Ovis aries: one gene and its partners. The protein of the gene in region 3 purifies or fractionates together with the protein of the main gene of each other region. This does not show direct contact. Links are inferred from orthologs where the notes say so. Each region holds a gene or a part of one and is shown on either strand. Other genes may lie near its edges.

What was found.
Region 1: the proteins of NRP1 (region 3) and UBR2 purify together in Homo sapiens (affinity purification with mass spectrometry; 3 studies listed by BioGRID and IntAct, counting the BioPlex papers as one, with this or other methods). This does not show direct contact. The link is inferred for Ovis aries from reciprocal best matches to the Homo sapiens genes NRP1 and UBR2.
Region 2: the proteins of NRP1 (region 3) and FAM241A purify together in Homo sapiens (affinity purification with mass spectrometry; 3 studies listed by BioGRID and IntAct, with this or other methods). This does not show direct contact. The link is inferred for Ovis aries from reciprocal best matches to the Homo sapiens genes NRP1 and FAM241A.
Region 4: the proteins of NRP1 (region 3) and PLXNA1 purify together in Homo sapiens (affinity purification with western blotting; 4 studies listed by BioGRID). This does not show direct contact. The link is inferred for Ovis aries from reciprocal best matches to the Homo sapiens genes NRP1 and PLXNA1.

What each region holds. Positions count from the first base shown.
Region 1 is NC_056073.1:16,370,409-16,373,971, reverse strand, and holds part of UBR2 (E3 ubiquitin-protein ligase UBR2), read right to left. Parts: intron 2,203-3,563; coding exon 2,109-2,202; intron 1,292-2,108; coding exon 1,130-1,291; intron 1-1,129. UniProt on the Homo sapiens protein: E3 ubiquitin-protein ligase which is a component of the N-end rule pathway.
Region 2 is NC_056059.1:13,754,777-13,758,976, reverse strand, and holds the start of FAM241A (uncharacterized protein FAM241A), read left to right. Parts: upstream 1-1,383; 5' UTR 1,384-1,520; coding exon 1,521-1,691; intron 1,692-4,200.
Region 3 is NC_056066.1:18,965,835-18,970,172, reverse strand, and holds the start of NRP1 (neuropilin-1), read right to left. Parts: upstream 2,844-4,338; 5' UTR 2,363-2,843; coding exon 2,290-2,362; intron 1-2,289. UniProt on the Homo sapiens protein: Cell-surface receptor involved in the development of the cardiovascular system, in angiogenesis, in the formation of certain neuronal circuits and in organogenesis outside the nervous system. Mediates the chemorepulsant activity of semaphorins.
Region 4 is NC_056072.1:60,170,691-60,174,253, reverse strand, and holds part of PLXNA1 (plexin-A1), read left to right. Parts: intron 1-2,684; coding exon 2,685-3,563. UniProt on the Homo sapiens protein: Coreceptor for SEMA3A, SEMA3C, SEMA3F and SEMA6D. Necessary for signaling by class 3 semaphorins and subsequent remodeling of the cytoskeleton. Plays a role in axon guidance, invasive growth and cell migration.

The DNA of each region.
Region 1 (3,563 bases), on a different chromosome or scaffold from region 3:
ATTATGCTGTAAGCACCTAGTTATGTTGCAAGCATTTCACAGTATTAGATTTAATCCTCAAAATTTTCTTAATAGGTTATATTATTGTCCCCATTTTACAGATGAGGAAACTGAGGTTTTGAGCTATGTAACTTGACTAAGGCTGTATATGGGACAGATGTGGCATTCAAACCTAGCTACATCAGACACGATAGCTTGTCTTCTTAACAAATGTGCCATAACTGACTCTCCTGGGAAAAAAGCAAAACCTGCACCACAGAAGTGAGTTTTTTCTCTTTACACGTAGAGAATTCTATTCTTAATCTTACAGTGACTAATTTCTGTATCAGTTCAAATGCAGATATAAGTCAGCACCATGATATTTCTTTTCTGATTAAAAAAGCATGAGCTTACATCATATCTAATGGTATTTTAAGAGCATTTTGCGGTAGCATAGACTAAGACACCATAGTTTGAACTCTTAAAATTGAAGAGAAAAAAACTGACTCTGCTTTAATTTAAACCCAAATAGTAGCATAGAAATAAACAGATGATTCATATTCATAAAACTTAATGTATACAAAGGTCAGGTTTGAATAGGAGATACCATCAAATTCATATCTGAGAGGAAAATGATCATGAATAACTAAAAAGCACACTAAACATCATGAAATAACAAAATTTTTACATTTTAAATACACTAACAGATATTCACTTTTTGGCCCAATTCTTCTATTGGCCAGTAAATTGCAAAAAATAATATTTAATTGTTAGTATGCTCAATAAGGTCAGTTTGAGCTGCCCCTCCCCCCACTGATTTATTGAGTGTCTCAAGAAAGTATGAAGGAGATATTCAAAGCGGGGTCTTAGAAATAAAGGAGACGGTTTTCACGAACCCATGGGGATTTTATATCCTTTCTAGTGTTTATGGGTGATCAAAAAACTTAAATTTTGGTCTGTTCCTTTCTAAAAACTAAAACTGTATCTCATAGGTCAGCTAGAAGAAATGACTAAATAAAAAGTTTGGAAAGTACCTGGAAAACATGCATTTACCTAGAGGGATATCCCCACCCAGCTGTGGTTTATCATTTCATTACCTTCTAAAGGAAACTACTTCTTTGATACAAAGGTTTTATGAGCCAAAACTTACCCATGAAAAACATTTCTTGGAGGAAGCAGCAGAGGAATAACAGTATTACTCAAGCATTCACAAAGGGGACAAAGGAATTCTCCATTTTCTACATCATAGCTTGTATGTAAGCGTAATCTCTGTTGCCTTCGCTGTTCTTTAGCTTGAACGGAATCAAAATACCTTCACAATTAGAAAACATGAGGTATCAAAAACAATGGCAATTCTTTTTTTCTAAATGAGAGCCACAAGCTTCAACATTTTGTTTCCACAAAACATCTAAAAATTAAAATTTTAAAATGACCGCAATTATTTTTTAAAGTGATACTTTACATTGTAGTAATTAGCAAAAAGGGCTAAGAGTTCTAAAACAAGAGAATTAAAAGAAGATTGCCTCGCAAACAGTCAGTCACCAAGTAGCATATTTCTTGGCCCTAGTGAGCTGTGGTTTCTCCCCCAGGGCTAGTGCTACTTACTTGGGGTGGTTCAGGACAACTCAGTGAGCAGAGTACTAGAATAACGGCACTTCTGCTACTGCAGAAGCTTAGAAAACACCGAAATACAGTAAGTTTGAAGTTATTCCATATTAGCTCAGGGAGCCATGACAATCTTGAGAGGCAACTAGGCAAGTGCTAGCATCTTCAGAGTCATGAGTTGTTCACCTTGGACCCGAAGAAAGACATTCTTCTTGGGTTTATACCATTGTAGAAATCCTTTTCTTCATCCAGTCTATTAGATTTCCCATATTAAAAAATACAGACCCCTAAATTAAAAATTATATTTGATATACTATGAAGTTTCTAAGTCACTCCTTTAAATGTACTGACAAAGCAAATTAATTTTAATTGTTATTTGTTAGGCAGTAATAATGGAGTCTTTTCTCCTTCAAATGTGTTTAGTTTTCTCCCCTTTTTCCAGAATGTAATTTCCTTTATTAAAAAAATTAGATTTTGAGTCTTTGGGTAAGCGTCTCTTGACTAATATTAAGAATATAAATTACCTTTGCCAACAGTGTGCATGCATAATATGCCCACAGCTACCAGTATGTATTCCACAAGACAGATCAGGGTGCATGAATAATGGATCATAATTTTCTGCATTATGAAACAAACAAAAAACATAAGAGAAAACTCAAGCATTTAATATTCCTATAACAAATGTACAATGCTAAACTGTGCAATCCTTACTAAGAGCCTGTAAACTTCAAATGAAATGCTAGTTTATTCCTTTGAGATACCAATAATTTATGCAAGACCCTAGATTATTTAGAATACAGGACTCCCCAATTTTCATTACCCTGAGCAAATTAATGAAACTTCCTTGAACTGTGAACTGAAACTGGAATCCTGTTGTTGTTTAGTCGCTCAGTTTTGTCTGACTCTCAGCTATGTCTGACTCTTTGCGACCCTATGGACTGTAGCCCCCTGTAGGCTTCTCTGTCCATGGCATTTTCCAGGCAAGAATACTGGAGGGGGTTGTCATTTCCTTCTCCAGGGAATTCTGTATTTAAGTACATCTAATTTTTTGAACACATCACATTTTCAGGGCACTGAGAGACTCTTATTTCCCACAAATGATGGCGCTGTCTTTAACGCCTTCAGGGCAGCTGGCTCACAATGATCTCCAACAAAAAAGATGTCCTGGCAGTAGTGGGGCGCTCCCTAGAGGAGATTCTGCGTAAGGACACTCATGCAGAGAAGAGCCACAATTACGGTGTGAGTCACAGGTGCAGCAAAATACCAGGACAGCAGCCCAAACCAGAGTAGGGAAAAAAGGGCAATTCACACAGTCTTCTGTTCTGGCACTAATTTTTATAGTCAAAGGAGATGAAAAATGAAGACAAACATAAAGTGGCTAGCTGGCTTCTTCAGGAATTCTTGGAATTCTCTACATAAATTAGTATAATTTTAGAAATTCTCTAACAGTAAAATTACTCGTTTCAATTTGTTTTATATAATAGAATAGTGCAAATTTCACAGCATAAAGAAAATCTTTAATGACCTAAACTGTGAAAGTCTTAAAAAAAATCCACTTATAGCCAGTCCGTTTTTCCAAGTAGGTAACAAACTAAATACAGGTGATAACTTTATCCTAAGCCTGGAGTGAAATCTGTAAACCATCTGGTACAAATGATCATTTCTTAAGATGAAGCAGACCAATTTTTCTTAACAAGGGGGCTTGAGAGCCACACTCTGAAGGCTTTCTATGTAGAGAAAAGGCAATTTTACCAGTGGGCTCTCAAACTTCCTTCTAGTCTTACAATGTGAAAAGCGCTGGTTAAACAAGTGCCTTGGAATTTAAGACACAGTTCCTGTTCTCACCAAGTTTACTGGTATCACTGAGGCACATGCACATATAAACAAATAGAAGAGTAGAAACATAAAAGTATCTATGGTGTACACAGGGTATAGCCCACCTGCCCCTGCAGGAATGAATGACTTACTCCATCAGCTGT
Region 2 (4,200 bases), on a different chromosome or scaffold from region 3:
CTTCTGCTTCTATTAATATCAGCCAGCTATATAGTGAAGGTTCCCTTGATCACCCTCTTTGGGTTCCATTAGTTTGCTAGAGCTGCTCACAGAACTCAGGGAAGCATTTACTTAACCATTTTATTACAAAAGATAGTACAAAGGATATGGGTAAACAGTCAGATGAAGAGGTACCCAGGGCAAGGTGTGTGGGACAGGATGCAGAGCTTTCATGATCACTCTAAGCTGCCCCTCTCCCCCCATTTCCACCTGTTCACCAACTCAGAAGTTCTCTACCCCCTGTCCTTTGTTTTTCTACAGAGGTTTCAGTATGTAGGCAACGCTGATTAAACTCTTGAGCTTTGGTGATCAACTCAACCTCAGTCCCTCCGCCCTCCCAGGAAATCAGGGGGTGGGACTGAAAGTTCCAATCCTCTAATCACAAAGTTGGTTCTTCTGGGAATAGGACCCATCCTTAAGTTTCATAGGGACTACCAAAAAGTTACCTCCTTAACGTAACAAAAGACATCTTTATCCTTCTCACCAATTGAGAAGCTTCAAGGTTTTAGGAGCTCTGTGCCAGGAATGGGGACAAACGCAAAATATATATATATATATATATATATATATATATATATATATATATGTATATATATATATATATAATTCTTATTATAAATCCTAACACTTATAAACTAAATGTATCCCCCACACTGAGAGTGACATATTTTTACCCATTTATAGAAACATACACAAAAGCAGATACACTACCTCTGCTCCCAAGGCTTTGACAACCAACACACACCAGGGAAGCGCTCAACAGAGAGATACCTTCAGACCTTCGGAGAAACACAGAAAGGAGGCAAAAGGAACGAAATAGACATGGAATGCGTATGACTTGCAAGATGAACAGCTACTCAGGACAGGCAGCCAGCAGCGTGCCCAGGCACACCAGTAGTGCCAGGCAAACCCAGAGGGGTCTCGCTGGAGTGTGTGTGTTTCCTTCTCTCTCTCACACACACACCAACACACGCTTTCCTCTCTCCCTCAACAAACGCATACATCCTGCCTTTCACAGTCTCTCTCTCACAGTCTCTCCTATGCACACGCCATCTCTTACACAGTCTCTCACGGTTGTTGTGCTGCACTCATACACAAAATCTCTCTCGCACAGTCTCTCACACAGTCTCTCATACACAGCTCCTCTCTCTCATACACAGTGTCACACGCACATGTAGTCTCTTAACGTACACTCTCACACAGACTCCCTCTCCTGTCACACTCGCACGCGCGCGCGCGCCCTTGGCCCCGCCCCTCCGTGGCCCCGCCCCCGCCCGGGCTCCGCCCCGGCGGCTGAGGGCGGGGCGAGCCCGTGACTCGAGGGGCCGAGCCGGGCTGGTACTCGTGCCGCCCCAGCCGGCGGGGCGCGCTCTGGAGGCGCCTGTCAGTGGCAGGCGCGGACGATCCTACGGCGGCCCTCGGGCACTGGGTCGCTGCCTCCGGCTTGGCGGCGGTCCCGGGCGGCAGAAGTTGGCGGCGGAATGTGCTCGGCCGGGCAGCTGCTGGGCGGCGGCGGCGGCGGCGGAGGCAGCGGCGGGGAGCGCGACGAAGACCGAGACGCGCTGGCGGAGCGAGCGGCGGCGGGGACGGAGCAGGAGTCCGGGGCGAGCCCGCGGCGGCGCGGGCGGCGGCCGCAGGAGGAGAGGGAGCAGGTGAGCCGAGCGGGGCGGCGTGGGCTGGCCGGTTTCCCGAGCCCCACGCGGAGGCGGAGGGAAGTGGTCCGGCGGGAGGGCGGCGCCCGGGCTGTGCTCGGCTTGGGGAGCTGGGCTTCGTGGCGTTCTGGGAAGCCGAACAGTTGACCCCGAGAGCAGTTGACGGCGCGCTCGGGGCGGGCCGCGGGGTCGCGTGCCGAGGGCCGACCCGGAGTCGCGTGCCTGGCTGGGTGAGCACCGCCTTTTCCCACCCGTGTGGCGGAGAGGATTCTCAGGCCAGAGCCCGGGGCTCTGGGGAAATGCCCTCCATAACGGTCGCTTATCTGAAAGCCTTCCATGTAAACACTCTTCCACTTGGAATCTGTTCCCCGGGGCTGTGTTTTAGGGGCCAGCGACTCCCCTCCCGCCTTCCATCTTGGCATTTCTGAACACACCTAGCGCCTCTGTACGGTGTAGGTGTATTTCTGTAGCCATGCAAGTCAGTATCTGAAGGCATGTGTAGGAGCGAGTATTACAATGGATGTCTTGACGGGGACTCTCCCAGAGCAAGTTTTTGACATGAACAGAAAGGAGATCTAAACTTCATTGAAAAACTGAAAAAGCCGAAAAATTGCTTTCAGTTGTTACCAAAGGGAGAAAAAGCATGGTTCCAGCCATAATAAAGGAGAGAAGTTGGGCAATTTTTGAAACTCTGAATTTGCTTTCACTAAATAAAATATGGTGATAATAGGCGTTATAGCATGTATCTTGACAATTAGGGAAGACGTTTAATGAAAGAAATTGAATTATCCCACATAGTGGGATGAATTTTCACCATGAAATACAGTAGACCTTCAAAAATACCCGAGATTGGCTTACCCTCAGAATCCCATTAAAGCGCAAGAAATAAAACTATCGTTTGCCTTTATTACAGGGTATACTGTTGAGATCAATACCTATCTCCTCTCATTATCCTTCAGCATCTTTTTGTCACATTTCACAAACTCCAACATCACTAAATGCATTAATAGGTAATTTCTCTGCCTTGGTTTTAGGAAACAGAAATAACCGTGTGGCAGGCACAAAATATGCCTTAGCATTAGGTTTGTTCACCATGTGGAAGTGTAATTTTTCATTCTTTTGATGATATAGGAGATGGTAACTGAAGCATATAATTGGTAGCTATGAGATCTTCCTGACTAGTTTCCTGATGGTTTATCCGCATTAACTGTGCCATGACTCAGTAGCTAAAGGACTGTTTCCTCTTACTTTAGTTGTTCAACTGGCAAAGTGAGGAAAACAGCAACAGAAATTCCCTGGGGCGGGGGAAATATTATTTGAATTGAAGATCCCAAAGTAATTTTCAAGTGGTTGTAAGGGAGTATGTAAAATACTTCATCTAAAAAAATAAAAATAAAAATAAAATACTTCATCTAAGCTTTTGTGGATCTTCAATCAGCAGCAGCTCTGGTCTTAACAGAATTGCTTATGGTACACAAAAAGGGATGAAACAAAAAAGAATGAAATATATACCCTAGAAAACAGATATATTTTGCATACCTGCCTCTATCATTGTGTGTCATGGAAATTTATTTTCCTATACTCTTGTGAAAACGTTATCATTTCATTTTTATCACATGATTTATTTATGTACTCTAAGCCCACATACACAATACTTGAAAATTATACCTGAGATATGCATTCCCTCCTAATAATATATATGCACCAAAGAACTTCTCATAAGTAAGTCAAAAATAAACAAAGAGATTGATACAACCCAACCCATTGGTATAAGAAACAAGCTTTTGTGATAAATCACTTCTTGGTAATGAAAAGTGTTAGTCTCAGTCGTGTCCAGCTCTTTGCAACCCCATAAACTGCATCCTGCCAGGCTCCTCTGTCCATGGAATTATCCAGGCAAGAATACTAGAGTGGGTTGCCATTCCCTTCTCCAGAGGATCTTCCCAACCTAAGGATGGAAGTCTCCTGGTCTCCTACATTGCAGGTGGATTTTTTGCCATCTGAGCTATCAGGGAAGCGATAAATGTAGCTTTCTTTCAAGTGCTGAAAATGAAATTTATATGCACTGTCTTGTAATGACAGTAGAGACATAAAGATATTTGAGGAAGAGGTAAATGATATTAACAACTGTAAAACATAGCCTAAGGAGTTATTTTAATTTGCTTTTCTTTAGGCAGATAGTATGTGTGTGTTTGCTGCTTTAAGGACACGTGGACTCCAAATTACAAATGGAGTACTTTTGAAAACTTGGTTTGTAATCTTGTTAATATTTGGAACTTGGAGTGAACTTTTCCATAGAAACAATGATAGGAACAAAACCAAAACTAATTAGCTGGAAATGAGACAGAGGCCATCTCCTGCTGTCCTTTCTGCTTGACACACTCAATATTCCAGAATCTGAGCAGTCTCACGGATATTAAAAGAGAATTGGTCGCAGAGGCTGCAGTAATAGCAGAGGCTCCCTTATATCTGGACCAGGGTTATAGGTGGTGTGTTCTTGAATGCAGTA
Region 3 (4,338 bases):
CAAATTTTCAGTAATGGTATATATAGATTTTAATATTGCATCTAATAGATTCCCTGTGGAAAAAGAATGGCATTCTTTGCTCTCAGCATGAATTTATAAATCTACAGAATTTTATTACAGGAAAACCAGGTCAAATGGAAATGAAAGATGAAGTGCACATCAAAAATGCATAAAGCTACATGCATTACAGAAATCATTTCCCATAAATTAAAAGAGAAGACAATATAAATTACTTTGTTTTTCTCAGTTGCTAGATGTTTCTGACTTTGTTTCTTAGACTGTTGGGGGGCGGGGGTAGCCTTATAAGGGTTTCCTCTGCCTTAGCTTTTAGAAGCTTAAGGTTTGCCAAGAAGAAATGGTGTTGTAACTGGAGTTCAGAATCTCAGCTAATGATCATACTGGACTCTGTTATGTTATTCTGCAGAGGCTCTTGCATTATTTTAAATGTGCAGAAAACTTGGAAAGCAACCCCATCTCATTAAGTCTCCTCCAGCTCTGTACAAACATCATGGCAGTGTCTGGCATCTGTTAAGGAGTGAAATAAAACAGCACTGCTTGTAGCCACTCGACAGAGTCACTTCAGAAGACATTTAGGTGGACTCAGTACCACACCAGAGCTCTTTAATCTGTGACTTCTGAGAAAGTGACAGTGTAATAAGATAATGCGGACTCCTAGACTCCCTGGCTCTGTTAAATCTCTCTAACACTTGATTAAGAACGAGCAGTTTCTAATGATTCTGGACCATTAGTCCTAAATAAGGTTAATGAATTAATTTAGCAGACACTGGTACTCCAAGGAGGTGGACATGGCTGGGAAAGGTCTGCTGAGCTAGAGGCATTAACTGGCTTTGGTCACTGTTAAGTATAGCAACATAGGTTTAACCAGTCAAGTCACTGACTGCAGCTTAGGGTCTCAGCATTCCCCAGATTTCTGCTAAGAAAACTGGGAAGTATGTGTATCTCTCATGTATGTATATACACACACACATATGCACACACACACACAGACATACATATGGAGTTCACAGCCTAAAGTCTGAAAGCTATTGGCATTGGATTTCAAATCCATCCTATGAACACCCGCCACCGTGGAAGCAGATGTTGTTACTGTAATTTCTAAAGTCTAACCATTGGAGCTCTTTCAATTGGAGGTGAGTGTTATTTCATTCCCTGCCAGACTAGAGAAGGATGCCATCATCTGAGGTTCATTAATAAATTGAACTCTACATTCACAATTGTATGTGTTTTGCTTCCAAGCATATCTTTTAGAACACTGCTTGGTAGCTGCTCGGGAAATCTATTGCTTCAATCAGGAAACCTCTAAAAAGCATATTAGAGAGATTAACGCCCATCATAAAGATGTGATTTAAATTCCTCTCGGTATGAACCCCTCCACTTGTGGTCTCTTATTAAAACAATATACCACGGGTAAGTAGCGGATGGGCTCTCTTAATTACTCTGATTGAAATCTAAGCCAGGCTAAAGTAAATATTTGATAATTAGTTAATAATAATTGCTGAAGACTTACTGTAAAGATAATGTCACCCGCCCCCTTGCTTCCACCTACTTTACAGTGTAAGTTGAACATGCCTACAACCAGATCCCATTTTAAAACACATTATTTACGTTACAGGATACTGCTTCTAACCCAGCACGGTCTTCCATTTACTTAACACTGAGTGGTTTTAAAAGCTAAGTGGAAGCTGCAACTAGGTTAGGGGATTTTCACATATCCTGGTGCCTTACAGCGTGTGTATCAGATTCCTTTATTGACACGATATAACTTTCATTCATACTCCAGACGGAGCAGGGCTGGTTTGAAAAAGCGGAGGAGGGACTAACACCCACCCGCAAACCGCTATCTCCTGCGGGCACCCACCAGAGGAATCAGTTCTGGGGAGCTGTCGGAGAATCAGGAAGTGCTCCCGGTAAAGTGTTCATTAACTTTCAACAGCCATCATATTTTTGAAAGGGAGTCTCCTCTAATTGCCTTGGGGAGGAAACATTATTAAGATAATTGGTGCGCTGATCTGGGAAGGTAGGGCGCTCAGCCTCGTAGCAGAGGTGGGAAAAACCCCATGGCCAAACAACCAACTTCAGGAGGGAGTCAGAGGACGTGAAATCTCCCTGCCCTACCTACAACGACTAATCTTATTTCTTTATTTCTCCGTCTGGCTAAAAGTTTCCTTCACCGGGAGGCGGCTCTCCCCGGTGGGTCCCGGCAGCTCGGAGCGGGCAGCCGGGAACCGGGTTCACCCCCGCGGCCGCGCGCCTCCGCCTGTCACTTACCGTTGCGAAAAGCGCCGGCCGCGCCGAGGACCAGGGCTAGCGCGGCGCACAGGAGCTGCAGCCCCTTCTCCATCCTCCCTTCGCCAGGTCTCCGGGGCGAACGCGGGAGAACCGAACGTGCGGGGAAAACAGAGCACCGGGGCGATCTCCACGATCCGGAGCGCTTTCACTCCTCCCGGAGCTGTAAAATCCTCAGACCGTTTTGGAGAAAGAAAAGCGTTGAGGCAATGCCTTGATCCGAGAGAAACGCTCCTCTTTTTGTGTCTCAAGTCGCCTGCATCCTGTCATTTAGCTCCGGTTTCCTCTCTCTTTTCCCACACTTGTTCCTCTTCCAGGAGCCGCTGCCCGGGCCATGTCTCAAAAAAAAAAAAAAAAAAAAAAAAACGTAGGGGGTGTGGGAGGGGGAGGAGGGACGTAGAGAAACACACACCAACGCCAATTTCCAGAAAGAAAGAAAAAAAAAAAAATCCGGCTTGATTCTGGACCCGTTGGATCCGGGGAGCTGGCGCCCAAGGGAGGTCGGGGTGTCTGCGCGAAGAGGAGCAAGCAATGAAAAGATGAGCGGGAGACGAAGGAGTTTCACCAACTGCACCCCCGCCTCCCCCACTGCCTCCTCCCCTCCCCTTCTGGAGCCCTTCCCTCGCTTCCCCCCGCCCCTCTCCCCGCACAGGCTCGCCAGCGATTGCCTGACAAGAGACGGGGAGGAACAAGTTTCTCTCCCTGAACGTTCCCCGTCCGTCTGTCCGTCTCTCCCACAAGCCCTGCTGGGATCTTCCCCGGCAGGGAGGCGCCGGGACTCCGTGCCCAGGGCCGAGTGCCGGATGTGTTTGCGGGGGTACCGGGCGTCGAGGTCGGTGGCAGCGCCAGGGTCGGGCTAGCCCATCTCGGCATGCTCGCTCGGGCCCCCGGGGGAGAGCGGGCAGTTCCGCTAAGATTTTGGGGGGTCGGCCGCCGGAGACAGGCAGCGCGCCCGGGAGGTGGCGGCTGCTTCTCCCAACTCCGAAACCCTCGGGAGGCGCCCGAGACGTGACCTGGGGTCGTGACCTGGGGCAGGAGCAGCAGGGCGCCCCTGGACGTTGCGGATCAGGCCCGAAGGGGCCGAGGAAAGGGGCTGGGGTTGGGGACGCACCCCGGAGCCGGGCGAGAGTCGGCAGTATCGCTGCCACGCAGAGCCGAGTCAGTAGACTCACGCAGACTAGGCTGTGCTGCAGCCCCGCCCGGCCTGCCTGCCCCGTATCGGGGCGCGCGGCTGGGCGCCTGGCGAGCCCGGGTGTCTGCCGCGCGCCGCGGGCTCCATTGTTGCCGAAGATCTGATGTCCTCTTCTCCCGGCCAGAGGGGACGCCGAAGGGTGGAAGGTGGTGAGCCTTCCAGCTAGGGGGCAGTCGTTGCCCGACCCCACCCAGCCGGCTTATTCGGAGCCCAGGTGCTCGGGGTTTGGAAATGAGGGGTCCAGCGGTCGGGGCTCCTGTGCATCACCGGGGAGCAGGAACAGTGGCGGGGGCGGGGGCGGGGTGTTGCTCTTGGCCGGGCTCTCACGGTGCCCGCTCCGGCTACAGGCGGTTGTCACGCCGGCCCACCCCCGCCTCCCACTGCAGCGCGTCCTCAGTGGGCTCTGGATGCCCCCCAGTTCGGTCCCCGAAGGGTTTTCCGGGAAGTGCTGCAGAAAGCCTCTGCAGATAGGAATAGCAAGGACATTTCAGGGACCAAACAGGTTTTGGCTACGGATCAGGCCCTTGAGAAGGTAAATGCCCAGGGACCCCTCCGAAGGAGTTCGTGGGGAAGGTGAAAAGGTCAGCCGCCTTCTGGGAACGGCGTTTCTGCACACACCCGAAAGCAGAGCCTTAGTCCTACCTGGCGCAAAGAGCTGGCAAAAGAGATTTAGGAATGTTGGCAGGAAGACTCTGGTCAAAGGTTTTGGCGGAAGAACTAGGGGCGGGACGCGAGGAAGGCGGCCCAGCGCGCGCGGGCCCTGGTGAGGGCTCGGCTCTAGCGGGTGGCGGCTGGACGCGGTGGCGCGCCCCGGCTGGGGTACAGACGATCCCCGCGCG
Region 4 (3,563 bases), on a different chromosome or scaffold from region 3:
TGTGTGCGTGGGGGTGGGGGACCGATGAGAGCTGTGAACCAAGCCGACTGCCCTTTGCCGGCTCTGCCGTGGTTGGTGTGTTGTAAGCCCCTCCTCACGCCGAGGAACGTCTCCGGGTGTGAAATGGGGTCGGGAGGAGAGGATAACTCGGGGGAGCCGGGGAGCAGGCACTTTTCCTGAGGAGCAGGACTCGAGTGCCTGCGATCCCGGCCCCCTCGGACAGGCCTGGAGGGGAGCAGGCGGCTTGGGACCACCTCCGGGGGCCTGTGTGGGGGAGGTGGGGTGACGGGGCAGCTCTTGGCGCTGGCTGCTGACCGACAAGGCACCCCTGGGTAGGACGCTGTGTCTTCTCCGTCCCCAATGCCTCAAGCTGCCCGAGTCCTGCGAGGGTCCAGATGTGGCTGGGGAGTTGGCCAGTGGGGCGGGGGAAATCGGGGCCGTTCCTCTGGGAAGAAGCCTCTGAGGGCCTTTGTTTCTCAGGGCGCGGAGCGGCGGTGGCCGCGGGCCGGCAGAGAAGCGGGTGGCGCGCTCTCCACGCCCTGGCGGATGGCTGAGCCGGTCCTGTGCGGGCGTGGAGGCCGCTGGGCCGCTCCCTGCCCTGCTTACCTCCCGTCGGCACGCCCAGCCCTGTGCCCCGGGCAGCTTCTCCCTCCCGGCCTGGCTCTGATTGGTGCTGCGGGCACCCTCACTGCCCTCTGCGCGGTCCAGCAGGTTCCACCCCGGCCTTTGCTCCTGCTGCTCTGCGCCCAGGGTGCCCCTCCCCCGCCAGCGTCGGGCCTGGTCCTTAACCAGCAGGTGGAAGGGCCTCCCCGGACCCCAGCGCGGGCCCAGAGCTCGTATCTGTCCCGGCTCCTCTCCCCCGGCCGGCGTGGCCCTACCCAGCAGCCGCTCTGGAATGAATGCATTTTTTCCTGGGTAGAACAGAGGCCCGTGGGAGTCCAGGTCTCCGTGGGAGTGTGCACAGCTAGCTGGGTGACCTTGGGTCTATCTGAGCCACAGCCCGTTCCTCGTGGGTAGGGGGAGTCCCCCAGCTGTCTTTAGTGGCCCCTGTGAGGGGGTGGTCTGGACGCCCTCTTTTGCTGGCTGCAGCCTGGCTGGTCCTCTGGGCAGCCCTGTTGGGGGAGGGGCAGCGGGCCCCCGGCCAGGCTGGAGTTTGGATGGCGCTTCTTCAGCTGGGTCCCTCCTGTTTAATATAAAAAGTAGGGCCCGTAATTGCATTAGAACGTGTGTAATTATCCGGAGGAGGGGAGAGCCCAGCCCCTGGTAATTGCAGGCCTGCTTTGAACTGATAAACGGTGAGTGATTCATGTTTTCTTTGGAGTTCGAAAGCACTCAGCCCAGGCCCTGCCGAGTCCTGAGGAGCCTGTTCTCCAGTACTGCTCTGCCCTGGCCTCCTGAGCTGGAGGCAGGGGCTGGGGACTCCTCTCCCTGCCGCCTGGGAGGTCCTTGGCGGCCACAGTTGTTGGGAATGTCTGGGCAGGGAGTGAGGGGTAGCTGACAGCCTGCAGGCAGGGTTCTGTGGCAGCACAGCCTGGTGCCCTTTCTGTGGGATGCTGGCCAGAGTTCCACCCCCCCTTCTGGGGGCTCAGCATCCCGCCTTGGGCCCCCACCCGTCACCCGTGGAGTGCTGACCAGCCGCCCCACCCACCCCCCCACCGCCTCAGTTCTCGAGGCTCAGCATCCCCAACTGGAAGAGGGTGTGGGGAGTGAAGTTGGGGTGGGCGGCAGGGCCCAGTCACTCACTCACATGGGCAGGTCCTGGGCTGGCCTCTGGGGCTTAGGCAGCTCTCGTGCTGGTGGGGACAGTGTCTGGGGACAGCTCGGGCCTCAGACTACAAGGGTGACAGACAGCTGGAGAGCTCGCGGCTGCTGCCCTCAGCCCGCAAGTCCGGGGACAGCTGAGGCGGGACCCTGACTGGGCACCCCGGCCTGCTCACTGTCACCCGGGAGACGAGCCTGCATAGACGGGGAGACCCTGGCTGGCGACCCGGTCAACCACGTGGCTGCGGGCCCCAGAGGCTACACGTAACCTGGAGTGTGGCTGCCAGCTGCTGAGCTGTGGGGAGATGAGATTGTTTGCGAGGAGGCAGGGTCTGGGGGCTTCTCGCCTGGGGTAGGGACAGCCATTGGCTGGGGGTGGGAGGTGCAAGCCACCCCGCTGCTGGGGAACTCCTCAGAGAAGGGGGCGGGGCCGGGCTCTTAGCGAGCAGGGCTGGGGGCGGGGCGAGGGCAGGTGGGCAGGGCTGGGGGCGGGGCCAGGGGCGGGGCGGGGCTGCGAGGAGCCCCGCCTTCTGCAGGGACCACACGAGTGTTCTCTACTACCTGTGAGTACTGTCCAGCCCGCAAGGCGCTTGGGCAGAGAGGCGGTCACCACCGTGGGAGCTTGGAGCCGGGAGCCTTGCTCCCTGGGGGGCGTGGGCAGGCCCAGGTCTGTCGCCCACCTCCCGGTCCTGGGTTCCTATCTTCTCCCGAGCGGCAGAGCTCGAGCGGCCCGCGCTGCTGGCCGGAGTGTGGGGCTCAGAATAGCTGCCCCCAGGGCTCCAGGCCGGGAGGGGCTCTCCCTTGCCCCTCTGGCGTCTCCTGGAGCGTGAGGCTGCGCCCCACGAGTGGGACATCCTGGCGGAGGATGGGCACTGGCGCTCAGTGACGGCGCAGGTGACACGCCCTGTCCCTCCTCCCCGCAGGGCTGAGGCTCCTGTGATGCCTGGCGCCGAAGGACCCAAGCGCCTCTGCCTGAGGCCCCGGCCCGTCATGCTGCTGTCGCGCCTGAGCCCGCGGGCTCCGCTGCTGCTGCTGCTGATCCTGCTGCTGCTGCTGCTGGGGGCCGCCCCCCCGGCAGGCGGGGGTCTGCAGCCCCCTTTCCGCACCTTCACTGCCAGCGACTGGGCGCTGACCCACCTGGTGGTCCACGAGCAGACGGGCGAGGTGTATGTGGGCGCCGTGAACCGCATCTACAAGCTGTCGGGGAACCTGACGCTGCTGCGGGCGCATGTGACGGGCCCGGTGGAGGACAACGAGAAGTGCTACCCCCCGCCCAGCGTGCAGTCCTGCCCGCACGGCCTGGGCAGCACCGACAACGTCAACAAGCTGCTGTTGCTGGACCAGCCCGCCAACCGCCTGCTGGCCTGCGGCAGCGCCTCACAAGGCATCTGCCAGTTCCTGCGCCTGGACGACCTCTTCAAGCTGGGCGAGCCGCACCACCGCAAGGAGCACTACCTGTCGGGCGTGCGCGAGGCGGGCAGCATGGCCGGCGTGCTGATCGCCGGGCCGCCCGGCCAGGCGCAGGCCAAGCTCTTTGTGGGCACGCCCATCGACGGCAAGTCCGAGTACTTCCCCACGCTGTCCAGCCGCCGGCTCATGGCCAACGAGGAGGACGCCGAGATGTTTGGCTTCGTGTACCAGGACGAGTTCGTGTCCTCGCAGCTCAAGATCCCCTCGGACACGCTGTCCAAGTTCCCGGCCTTCGACATCTACTACGTGTACAGCTTCCGCAGCGAGCACTTCGTGTACTACCTCACCCTGCAGCTGGACACGCAGCTGACCTCGCCCGACGCTGCCGGCGA